Linked DNA regions of Canis lupus familiaris. The protein of the gene in region 1 purifies or fractionates together with the protein of each later gene. This does not show direct contact. Links are inferred from orthologs where the notes say so. Each region holds a gene or a part of one and is shown on either strand. Other genes may lie near its edges.

Region 1 (3,500 bases):
AAAACAATTAACTTAATATTTAATTTATTTGAAAAATAATTTTTATTTCAAAGATAAAACTTGTTAAAACCTTTTTAAGAGGTTTAAGTAATTAGCAGTTATCTAAAAATTCTAGTTTGTACATCTAGTATATTTTTGGATCCTATATATGTTAAATCAGTGATGCATTTCTTATATATTAATCCACTGAATGTATTTTGCCCACACAAAAGAACAGATTGTCAGAAGATTCATATATCTATACTTCTTCCAGGGTAGAGACAATATTCTTTTGTATCTTTCCAGTGATTTGCCCATATAATAGGCATTTAGTATGCATTTAAATCCCCGGGCAGGGGTGGGGGGTGGGGAGTATAGACTAATTAGAGAAAACTCTTAAATTGTGAGCTATACGCTTTAAGAGCAGTCACTTTATATTGAAATCATTGGCTTTTTTTTTTTTAAGTAATGAAACTATATTTAAATCACCAGTAATTCACAGATTTAATTGTCTAAAGAGGGTTTTTGCCCTTCATCAAACATTAAGTGATTTTCTTCTTTAATTGTATTTACTTGAATCTTCTAAACCAAAAAGTCTCCAGTCTCCTAATAGAGGAGGAAGAGCAAGAGTCTTGAACCATTTCCCCACTGAATCAGGTCTATGTTTATCTAGTTTGTTTGGCTTTTCACCAATTTTCGTAATTGAGTTTCTAAGTGGACCTCTAATTAGAACATGGCCCCACACTTTAGTTATGTACAAGCAATGTTACTGCATAGTGGACTTAGACATATGAAGGAATTGTTTAGGTTTCTGTATATACCTAAGCACTTACTCATTTCTCACTTTTTTCCTGGCAGATTTTGTGGTGAACAGCTGTTGAGCCCTTTGGGATTTATCTAGTCTTGTCTGTAGTTTTCTGATTCTATTTAAATATGTCATTACAGATTCTCATTACTATAAACTTAACTAAGAGACCTTAGAGCATCACAACGGAGAAAAGAGACAACATAAACATTGGTCATTTCTACCTTGGATGCCATTGAAGACAGTCCATTAATTTCATAAAGTTGTGCTTATTCTATGGTTACTAACCCAGGCCTCATTTGTTGCCTAGTGGTAGTTGCCAGTGGTAATGTAGTTTGGGAAGAGTGACCATTGAGTAATTAAACAGGTCTCAGTCCTCCTCTACCTTCCCCAAACTGGATTTATATGTTATCCTGTGGGATGTGATCCAAAGGATGCCAGAATCTTTCTTAAAACTCTACTTGAGATATTTCTAGATTGGGTTAAAATAACATCAAGAGAATCTAACTAAGGATAATAGTAGCATTGTCCATGGTCTGCAGATGTAGTAAAGATCATGTTTCTGCATTTAATATTTACTTTCAGGCTAGTGAATATCCAAGTTACATTGATATTTGGGGGAAAGTTTAGAAATACAGATTCCAGGGTTCTAGCCCATATTTAAGGGATTAAAATCACAAGGAGTAGGGCCTGGTGTGGTTTTTTGTTTGTTTGCTGCTTGTTTGTTTTTTTCCAAAGCTTCCCAAATGATTGCTATGCTGACTGACTAGTAGTGACTGCAGTATTTGAGACCCATTGGTCTGTTTAGGATACCTTCAAGGATAATAGTGTTGTCTTCTTTCAATCATGTAACCTTGATAGGAAGTTTGTCTTACTTTCTCTGGATTTTTTTTGTGTGTGTGTCTTTAAAACTGCTCATTAGCCTCATGAATTCTTTCATGTACTTAAAGCCACCTCAGGCTTCCTATTCCCAGTTTCTTATATATACATATGTATGCATTGAGTTAAGAAATATATCAAAATATATTTTTATCAGAATAAAATTATTAAACATATTTTCCTGAAAATCATCAAATGCTGATTCTTGAACTGACCGTTAGGATACCTGTTTGATGCATTAAAGAAATTGACTCAGTAGAAGAACAAGTAAACATGAACTTTTATCTTATTATCATATTTTCTAAATGTATATGTAGGTACCTAAACTGCATTACATATTCTATGTTTATAATTGTCCTTTTCTTTTACCTAGTCTGTACAACCACATCCAGTTGTCTAGTAATTTAATGCCTGGCTGTGACTACTCACTTTTTAAGGTATGCTTTTACTGGCAATTTCATATATTTATTACAAGACTGGACTGTTCATTTACTCATTAAGAAATCTTGTCAGAAACTTAGGAATAGTTAATGCTCTGAGGTTTGGAGAATAATTAAATTAGTTTTACTGGGCTTTCACATAAACAAATTTTGCCCTATTGCTATAAATAATTGAAATTGAGAGTCTTACTTTATGGGCACACAGTGTGATTGATTTTTGAAGAGAGCTTTGTTCATCCAGTCCAGTATCTTTTATATATTTGAGTAGGCTGGAGTTTGTCAGAATTTTTAACCTGGGATGTATTGGTCTTTGGGGTATTTATAAATCAGTTTTGTCAAGTGGTAGGAGGTGGGGCATTCATTAACCCTGAAATTGCATAATTTTTGCATGTATTTTTCTAGATCATAGACATGTATGTAGCTTCTCAAGGGTATCTGCTACTCAGTGTTTAAAAACCTCAAAAGAAACTCAAGGTTTGATAGCTAGTAAGTGTCTATATCAAGACTCTTAATTCTGTAGTCCCATGCCTCTGGATTTAAGGCCTGCCTGCTTTTTTTCCCCCACTACATCAATAGCAGTTTTATGAAGAGAAAAAAACAAGAAGTTGACAGAGTTGTTGCTTGCTCTTTCTAGTGATCTCTTCAATTAAAATAACAATTTTGTCTAATATTGTTACTTACTAACCTTGTAGGATGGTATTGAGCCTATGTGGGAAGATGAGAAAAACAAACGAGGAGGACGATGGCTAATTACATTGAACAAGCAGCAGAGACGTAGTGACCTGGATCGCTTTTGGCTAGAGACAGTAAGCTTTTAAAATTATAAAATAGTTTTGGAATACTAAAAACTTAATTTGGATTACATTTTACATCGGTTACTTCTGAAGAGATGAGGATACCCACCCTATAAAATCTAAGCCAGCAATTAATTTTGTTCTATCATGTGAACATTGTATATTTTACATACTAGTCCAGTGAAACCCATACCGTATTACATATCAGATATAAAGTGATTGGTAGTTGATTCTCACCTTCCACAGTAAGTTTCTCCTGGTCATTTCATTAACTTCAAAATTGCAGAACTTCACATTTGTAAGTTTTTACAACCTTCTTCAGAGTATTACTGTGTATAAATTTTTTAGGTCAGTGAAGCAAACAATGAAAGCATAGCTTGATATTATTTACCTTATGTATTGTACTATAATCTAAAACTTCCAGCTTTTTAAGACATATATTAAATATGAGATAATTGGCATTTTCTATAGTGAGAAGTTAAAAGCTCTAAGCTATTAGGAGTAGGAATAATAGTCTCTTGGATTCGTAGCACTCATCACAGTGTCTCATTTATAGTTAGCACTTAATGAGTTAAGCAGTTACTGAATATTTGCATGAATTTC
Region 2 (4,126 bases), on another chromosome or scaffold:
CGGAGGGCTTCCCCGAGCAACCGAGGCTCCAGCCACAAATCAGCAATCGCACAACTCAGACACTAGGTACTGAACTTGGCAGTGTGACACCGTCCTTGCATCCCAGTGTGGCCGGGGTAGGACTGAGGGGTAAGGATGGGGGAAGAGAGAGACTCCAAGAGGTCTTCGGGTAGCACAGAATTGACAGAAGACCGGGCCTTCATTCAGTGACACCTGCTTTGTTGGGTCAACACAGATTTGGCTCCTACTGTGTGCCTGACACTGTTGTGGGCACTAGAGGGGCACCTCAATGAAAACCAGCCCACCTACCAGACTTGGTCCCTGCCTTGTGGAGCTTCCCACCCCTGCTCCACCCACTTTTCCTGACTCAATTACCAACTGGACACCTGCCCTTTTTTTTTTCTTTTCTTTTCTTTTTTTTTCCCCCCAGATTAGGTAAAAAGAAGGCTCATTTGGAATAGAATGGAAAAGGAGACAAAGGTGTGGACTTAATTTGGGACCTAGAATCTGAGTGACCTAGAGAAGACAGTAGAGTCAGGAACAGGGATAAATTCTTCTTCCCAAGAAGGCGCATCCTCCCTGGGATGCGGAGAGAGATTACAGAAGTCAGGGCTGCGGGGGCCTGAGACAAAGTCGTCATCTGTGGGGCGAGAGGTTATGGGGCGCCCCAGGTGGACTCCTACTGAGATGGCAGAGGGGGAATGACAGTGTGGCCCTGGGATGATACCGCGCGGCCTCCAACGAGCCTCGCTTAATTTTCAGGCTGGGCGCCCGCCCGTTGCCGCGGGAACAGGCTCCCCGCCCTCGCGAATCCCGCGCGTGCCGCTGCGCTCCCAATAAAGTTGTTGTTGAAGCGCCGCGGAGCCACGTGGGCCGGCCCGGGGGCGGGGCCGGGGGCGGGGCCGGGGCCAGGGGCGGGGCCGAGCGGAGCGGAGCGAGGGAGCGCTCCCAATAAAGTTGTTGTTGAAGCGCCGCGGAGCCACGTGGGCCGGTCCGGGGGCGGGGCCGGGGCCGGGGGCGGGGCCGGGGTCAGGGGCGGGGCCGAGCGGAGCGGAGCGAGGGAGCGCTCCCAATAAAGTTGTTGTTGAAACGCCGCGGAACCACGTGGGCCGGTCCGGGGCCGTGGGCGGGGCCGGGGCCAGGGGCGGGGCCGAGCGGAGCGGAGCGAGGGAGCGCTCCCAATAAAGTTGTTGTTGAAGCGCCGCGGAGCCACGTGGGCCGGCCCGGGGGCGGGGCCGGGGCGGGGCCGTGGGCGGGGCCGAGCGGAGCGAGGGAGACCCTGCGGGAGGCGCCGAGGAGGGGAGGCGGAGGCGGGCGCGGGCGCGAGCGCGGCGGCTGGCCATGATCGCGTCGTGCCTGTGTTACCTGCTGCTGCCGGCCGCGCGCCTCTTCCGCGCCCTCTCAGGTACCGGCCCCGCGTCCCGGCAGGCGGGTGCCAGGCCCGGGCCCACGTCGGCGGGGCCCCGCGCGGCGCGTCGGGCCTCACGACCACCTGCCCCGGCCCAGGTGCGGGGAGGCGGCCCCCGGTGCCGGTCCGGGACCCCGCGAGGCCCGGGCCTGGCCGACCCCCCGCCCACGCGGGCCTCCCTGCCCCCTGCGCCTGCGGCCTGACGGCGTCGGGCCACAGTTACCGTGGGAGGGGCCGGAGAAGGGGCGGCAGCCGCGCTCCCGGGCCCCCGCGGTGCAGAGGTTTCGGGGGTCCGCGGGGCACTGCCCTGGGGCGGGGGCGTTGGCAGCTCGGGTCGAGGCGAGGGCCGAATTCTCGGGGGTGGGGGTGGGGGTGGGGTGTGAGCCGAGCCCCGCACGTACCTGCGGCCTCCCGGGTCACTCCACGCTCCCCTTTCCCAGCCGCCGCTCCGCTCTCCGGCCGAGCCTCAGGCTGGGAAGGGCCGGCTGCTCCCCAAACCCAGAGACCACGGAAGCCCCCGCTTTGGAAGCCGCGTTTGGAGATGCGGCGGGGCGGAGCCGATGCCCACTCCCGCTTGGTCCTTGAGGGCGGGGAAGGCTGTCATGCTTGCACTTTCTCACCATCCGCCTGCACTGCCTGGTCTTTGAAATTCCCCAGGCTCTTAGGGGACCCCCTCCCTCTGCGAGAAGCAGAACTCCCAGAATGTTCTCTGGCGACTTTAGAGGGCGGGACAGACCAAGAGCTACTTTCCTAGGAATAAGCCGTCAACTGCATTCTGTGCTTTTTTTTTTTTTCCCCCCCTTTCTGGAACTTCACACGATGTGTGTGGGTGTGTAAATTCATCTGTTCCTGTGTGTCTGCCGCTGGAATGCAGGCTCCCGGGGTGGGGTGGGGGGTGCAGGGCCATGCCTGTTCTGTTCCCTGTGTTTCTAGTGCTAGCACACCGCCCGGAGTATAGTAGGCACGCGGTTCACCACGAGAAACTCCGCGGAAGTGTTTGTTTTCAGAGAATTAAAGCATGTGCCTTCATCCACGTTGCTGTCATTTCTGGAGCTTCTGATGTACGTCAAGGTGCAGCCTTAGTGACACCGACTAGTCCACAGGTTTCTAGGCCCGCAGAGTTTAGAGATCTCGGGGAAGGGAGCATCTCCCTCCCTCCTTCCCCCATTAAAGTAGTGCCACTTTTGTTGTTGTTGTTGTTTAAAGATTCATTTATATGGTCATTCATGAGAGATGCAGAGAGAGAAGCAGGCTCCTTGCAGGGAGCCTGATGGGGAACTCGATTCAAGGACCTCCGGATCATGCTCTGGGCGGAAGGCAGACACTCAACCACTGAGCCACACAGGCATCCTGCCACTTCTTTTTTTTTAAATATTTTTTAAATTTTTTATTTATTTATGATAGTCACAGAGAGAGAGAGAGAGAGGCAGAGACACAGGCAGAGGGAGAAGCAGGCTCCATGCACCGGGAGCCCGATGTGGGATTCGATCCCGGGTCTCCAGGATCGCGCCCTGGGCCAGAGGCAGGCAGGCACCAAACCGCTGCGCCACCCAGGGATCCCCTGCCACTTCTTTTAACTTTGCGTATTTGGTTTCTCCAGAAGGTTTTCTCTCCTTCCTTTCTTTCCTTCTGTCCTTCCTTCCTATAATTCTTTTGGAAAGCCAACCACCACCAAAAATCTGCTAAATTTGAAAACTAGTATCCTCACACAGATAAATCAGAGAACCGCTGCCGTCTAGCATGCAGAGGATGTTTCAAGGGACAAGGAATTAGAAAAATCCCTGAGATCAGAGCCAGCGGCCCAGTTCGTGGATTTAAACCAAGGTCTGCCAATCTCCGCACTATTGGCATTTGGGCCTGGATAATTTATTGTCAGGCTGTTCTTTGCACTGTAGGATGTTCAGCAGTGTCCTTCTCCACTAACTTTTAGATGCCAGTAGCATCCCCACAGTTTTGACAACCACTGTGTTTCCAGACAATACTAAATGGCCCCGAGGGCAAAATTACCCCTGGTTGAAAACCACTGGCTTAGAGGGACAGAAATCCACATAGACCATAAATAAGATTGTATCTGTCAACATTTGAACACTTTTGAAGTTTTTCTTGCCTTTTAAAAAATAGAGCTGATGAAATGAATCTCTGGTGATTGAGGGTGAGCATCGTGCATGTCACTTGTCCTGTGCCGTAAATAAGTGATTTAGTGAGTGTGGGTGTTTGCTTGCACTAAAATACTGTGCTTGGAGTTTGGGGGCTCTAATTTTAGAGTTTTCCCACTTGCTTTCTTGCCTGTTGACTGTCATTTGTGGCTGCTGTAGCAGAGAGATGACAGCTGTCTCTTGCTGTCACTTGTTGGCACCTTCTGATTTACAGCCTCTGGTGTGTTATGGGATGGGAAGGCTGATAATGAAGTTTGTGAAGATTTATGAATAGAATAGTTTTGAGAAAAAGACCAGGGGCCTTTGCTACAAAGTGAATCGTATAGATTCTGAGACACTCTTTTTGTCTACTTCAGGACTTTTTCTTTTGCAATGTGTTTACAGACTAGGGGATTTATAGAACTAGAAAGGCTCTTGGAGATTATGTAGTTCAAACTTCCCCTCCCCAATTTATAGTCAAGACTGAGTCCATATCACTGGGGGCATTGTCCAAATTTCAGCGCTAGGTCATAACCCACAGTTCTGATTCATGGTCAAGTGCTGGTTCCAATTCAGTGTGACC
Region 3 (4,140 bases), on another chromosome or scaffold:
GGTTTCAGATCATTATGTACTTCTCCTTCATAGCACACACATAAGTCACAGCATTAAAATTTGTTTCCTGTCTCCGTGAGGACAGGAACTACTACATCTGTCTTGTTCACTGCTGACACACAGTAGTTGCTCAACAGAAATGTGCGCAGTGAAACTCGAACTCGGGCCACCCAGCTTCCAGTCCACTCTTCTTTCGTCTGCGACCCCGCTTTAGTCGGAGAAATAGTTCCTAGACGTAAATTAAAAACCTCAATAGAAAAAGCTGGGAAATGTGCATTTCCACGATTAGTGGAGGACCTTAGCAGAAACTGCTCACCGCGAGGTGTGACGACCGCAGGAGGGCGTCAATCAAGAAAATGCCCCCTTGCCCCGCAGGCGAGGGGAGCTGCACGGAGCCGAGGCCGCAGGGGTAGCGCCACGGATTCAATAGAAAACACGTGTAAACGCGAGAGCGGTGCTGCGCGCAGCTGCGACCCCCGGGGCCCGGGGACAGGGGACCTAGGGCAACCCCCTTTGGGTGGGCGAAGACCGCACGACTTCTACGTGGCATCTAAGACCCGGGCTTTCCCCGGATTCCTCCCCGAAAGCGTCCTCACGGGAGCGGCTGAGGGCTGGGGCCCGCCCACCAAGGAAACGGGACGGAGCGGCCGCGAGGGCCGAGCGCTTCAAGCCTAGGCGTCCTCACCCCAACTGGGCCTTAGCTAGGGGCCGGGTTTCTCTCCTCGGAGCTGCCGCCCGGGCACAGCCAGCGCCACCGGCACTCCAGGGCGCGCGCCCACACGGGGGATGCTCTCGGCCCGCGACGGCGCGGTCTGCCAGTGCCTCCACGCCCGCCAGGCTCGAGTCCGGCTGCCCTGCGCCGGGTCCACTGCTGCCACCCCGGGGCCGGGCCTGGGCCTGGGCCGGTGCCCCTCGAGTTTCGGCAGGGCTGCCTCCCGGCACGGGCCGGGCCCACGGGAGTCCGTGTTCCAGCGCTGCTTTCCTCGAGTCTCCCCTCGACGGACGTGGCCCTGGGCTTCCTTCCCTTCGAGCGCTCCGGGGCCAGGGTGCCCGCCGCCCCGAGCGACGGCGGCGGCGGCCGGGGACCCGGGCGCGGGTCGGTCCTGGGAGCCGGCGAGCCAGCGCGTCCCGGGGGGCGGGAGCTCGGCCGGCGGGGGCGGGCCGAGGGTGGGGGCGGGAGGCGGCTCCCGGGGCTCCGCGCCATTGGCCGCAGGGACAGGCGGCAGGAAGGGGCCAGAGAGCGCGGCCCCACCCCGTGGCCGGCGGAGCCTATCGCCGGGAGCGCGGAGCGCGGATAAATGTAGCGCCGGGGCGCGGGCCGCCAGCTCTGCGAGGGGCCGGAGCGCAGCGGAGCCATGCAGTACCCACACCCCGGGCCGGCGGCGGCGGGCGCCGTGGGGGTGCCGCTGTACGCGCCCACGCCGTTGCTGCAGCCCGCGCACCCGACGCCGTTCTACATCGAGGACATCCTGGGCCGCGGGCCCGCCGCGCCCACCCCCGCCCCCACGCTGCCGTCCCCCAACTCCTCCTTCACCAGCCTCGTGTCTTCCTACCGGACCCCGGTGTACGAGCCCACGCCGATCCATCCCGCCTTCTCGCACCACTCCGCCGCCGCGCTGGCCGCCGCCTACGGACCCGGCGGCTTCGGGGGCCCTCTGTACCCCTTCCCAAGGACGGTGAACGACTACACGCACGCCCTGCTCCGCCACGACCCCCTGGGTAAGGCGGCCGGGGTCATGGCGGGGCCGAGCCGCGGCCGCGGCGAGGAAGGCGCCACCCGGCAGGTGGCAGCGTCCAGGAGGCGGCGGGGGCGGAGGGGGAGGCAATAGAAAGTTGTGGCAAAAGCGATCGAAAAGCGGCCCTCGGGCGCGCGCAGGGACAGGAGGCGCGTGCCCCAGTGGCGCGCTGCCGGGGCCGACCGCACCGTGACTCAGATTGGTTTTCCTGCACCTTGCAGGCGTCGGGGCGCGCGGGCCCGGGCGAGACCTCTGGCACTGCCGCGGGGGCTGGCGGCCGAAGGCAGCCCCGGGGCGCGCGTGTCGCTCGGGGTGGGGTCCCCTTAGCTGGAGGGACGGGGTAGGGAGTGCCAGGGCGCCCGGGCCGGCCCTGCGGGGCAGGGATAGCTGCTGGGCCCGGGTGGTTACGAGGCTGAACCTGGTTCAACAAGCTTGTGCAGTGAAAGAGCCTGACCCTTTCCGTTCATACAGGAAATCTTGAGTTCTCGATAGGAGTAAATCTGGTTTCAGAAGCTGTTAAGTGTTTTCCTGGCTGCATGAAGCAGACCCTTCCCCCGGAGTAGTGCACGCTGCTGATTATTTTATCGACATCCTCAATACAGACAAATTCAGGAAACACTCGACTTCTGATAGCCGGGATCCGTTTTTCTGATATTGTTCATTTCCTCTGTGTGGGATGTGACTTTATGGCAGCTAAAATAACCAGTTGCTTCCTTTTTTCCCCCGCCCCCGAAGCTGTTTTGCACTAGTCTGAAGCCTGACGTAAGCAAAATCTGGGAGAAAAAAAAAAAACAATGCCAGCTTTCAAAGTGTTTGGGGGCAGGCCTGCAGACCCACGGACGGACGGACGGACGGACTGACTGATAGGTCTTCGGAGTAGGAAAGGCGGGGAAGACACCTAGGACTTACGGTGTTCGCGGGGCTCGTCCCTCAGCGCACGGCCTAAGAAACAAGCCGACGGGGATCCGCACTCCCGAGGGGCCCTTGGCGGCTCCGGCATCGGAAGCCCCGGGGGCATAAAGAAACGGGGCTCCTTGCCTTGGGCCGCCAGGGTTTTAGATTTACTCTCTGCTATTGGCAGCTTCTTTGGGGACCCTAGAGACAACGTAACATTTTAATTAAAATTTTAATGTCTTCACGTTTATGATGAGGCCTTTAGCTCAGCCCTCCACCCTCTTTTCTCATCGTTAAGATTTGGAGGGGATTATATTTTAACTCCTTAAAAAAAAAGTTAACGTATTTTTTTTTTAAGTTATCATATTTTTGATCCCAGTTTCGAGGGTTTGGTGCGGTGGCTCCTGTCCGGCGTGGTTCCGTTCGCCTGCTGGGGCGGGAGCGGGACCCTCAGTCGGGCCGCGTCGGGGGCGAACGTTGTCACAGAGCGCGCCCTGGGTTTCCTTGGGTTACTGCTGGGACCGCGCAGGAGGAAGCAAAGGGCTTTTCGAGATAGACCAACAGGAAACACATTGACGGAAATGTTGCCATAGCCCACGGGGTAGCTTTAACTGGCCGCCCCCGCCGCCGGGTGTGAAATCAGAGGAGGAGGCCGCAGCGCCCTGGAGCCAGGATTGGAAGCTCCACGAACCCGGGCCCCAGGGCTTCCCAAGTGGGCTCCCCGCGGCGGCACCTGGCCAGAACACCTCGGGTAGTGTAGCAGTCCACGCCCCCCCCCCCAACATACACACACTCGGGTGTTTGGAAAGTGCAGCTCACCAAGAGAGAGGGCCTAGAGGTGCAAAAAGTTGTGTATAAATTCCAGAGAGACTTGTTAAGGAGTGTCGTGGTATTTTAAACTCCATTTATAGTGTGTGTTCTTTTGGGGATCAAAAGACTTGTGCGTTTGAAATCATTTATGGGTGTGATGGCAGTTTGCATCTGTGAGTGTACAAGGGTGGTCTGTGTGCACATGCAATGTAGATGTGTGTGCCTTTGGGTGTTTCTGTCTCCAGGTATGCATGTGCCTTGGGGGGAACGCATTGGGTCCTTGTATGGATGGGTGTGAACAAGTTCGGCTGAGGGTCCGTCTAGTTCCCTCCTCCCCTTTGTCACCCCCAGGGCCTGACGGCTCCAGGGCTGTCACTAACCTCTGCTCTCGCTGCCCTGTAGGCAAACCCCTGCTCTGGAGCCCTTTCTTGCAGAGGCCTCTGCATAAAAGGAAAGGCGGCCAGGTGAGGTTCTCCAACGACCAGACCATCGAGTTGGAGAAGAAGTTTGAGACCCAAAAGTACCTCTCTCCTCCCGAGAGGAAGCGTCTGGCCAAGATGCTGCAGCTCAGTGAGAGACAGGTGAGCGCGCCTGCGGGCTGGGGGCAGATTCCTGGGGCAGGGGGCTGGGGGCGGAGACCTGGGGCGGGGGGAGCCACCGTGGGCTCAGGCGTTCCTCGTCGCCCCCTAATGCCTGGAGC

Evidence for each region. The genes of interacting proteins can lie anywhere in the genome.
Region 2: the proteins of EIF4E (region 1) and ANGEL1 purify together in Homo sapiens (affinity purification with mass spectrometry; 3 studies listed by BioGRID and IntAct, counting the BioPlex papers as one, with this or other methods). This does not show direct contact. The link is inferred for Canis lupus familiaris from reciprocal best matches to the Homo sapiens genes EIF4E and ANGEL1.
Region 3: the proteins of EIF4E (region 1) and HHEX purify together in Homo sapiens (affinity purification with western blotting; 3 studies listed by BioGRID and IntAct, with this or other methods). This does not show direct contact. The link is inferred for Canis lupus familiaris from reciprocal best matches to the Homo sapiens genes EIF4E and HHEX.

What each region holds. Positions count from the first base shown.
Region 1 is NC_049253.1:18,844,960-18,848,459, forward strand, and holds part of EIF4E (eukaryotic translation initiation factor 4E), read left to right. Parts: intron 1-2,036; coding exon 2,037-2,100; intron 2,101-2,795; coding exon 2,796-2,909; intron 2,910-3,500. UniProt on the Homo sapiens protein: Acts in the cytoplasm to initiate and regulate protein synthesis and is required in the nucleus for export of a subset of mRNAs from the nucleus to the cytoplasm which promotes processes such as RNA capping, processing and splicing.
Region 2 is NC_049229.1:49,998,920-50,003,045, reverse strand, and holds the start of ANGEL1 (protein angel homolog 1), read left to right. Parts: upstream 1-1,326; 5' UTR 1,327-1,341; coding exon 1,342-1,405; intron 1,406-1,481; exon of another isoform or gene 1,482-1,506; intron 1,507-1,809; exon of another isoform or gene 1,810-2,055; intron 2,056-2,341; coding exon 2,342-2,479; intron 2,480-3,120; exon of another isoform or gene 3,121-3,232; intron 3,233-4,126.
Region 3 is NC_049249.1:7,235,507-7,239,646, forward strand, and holds the start of HHEX (hematopoietically-expressed homeobox protein HHEX), read left to right. Parts: upstream 1-1,340; 5' UTR 1,341-1,355; coding exon 1,356-1,719; intron 1,720-3,842; coding exon 3,843-4,021; intron 4,022-4,140. UniProt on the Homo sapiens protein: Recognizes the DNA sequence 5'-ATTAA-3'. Transcriptional repressor. Activator of WNT-mediated transcription in conjunction with CTNNB1.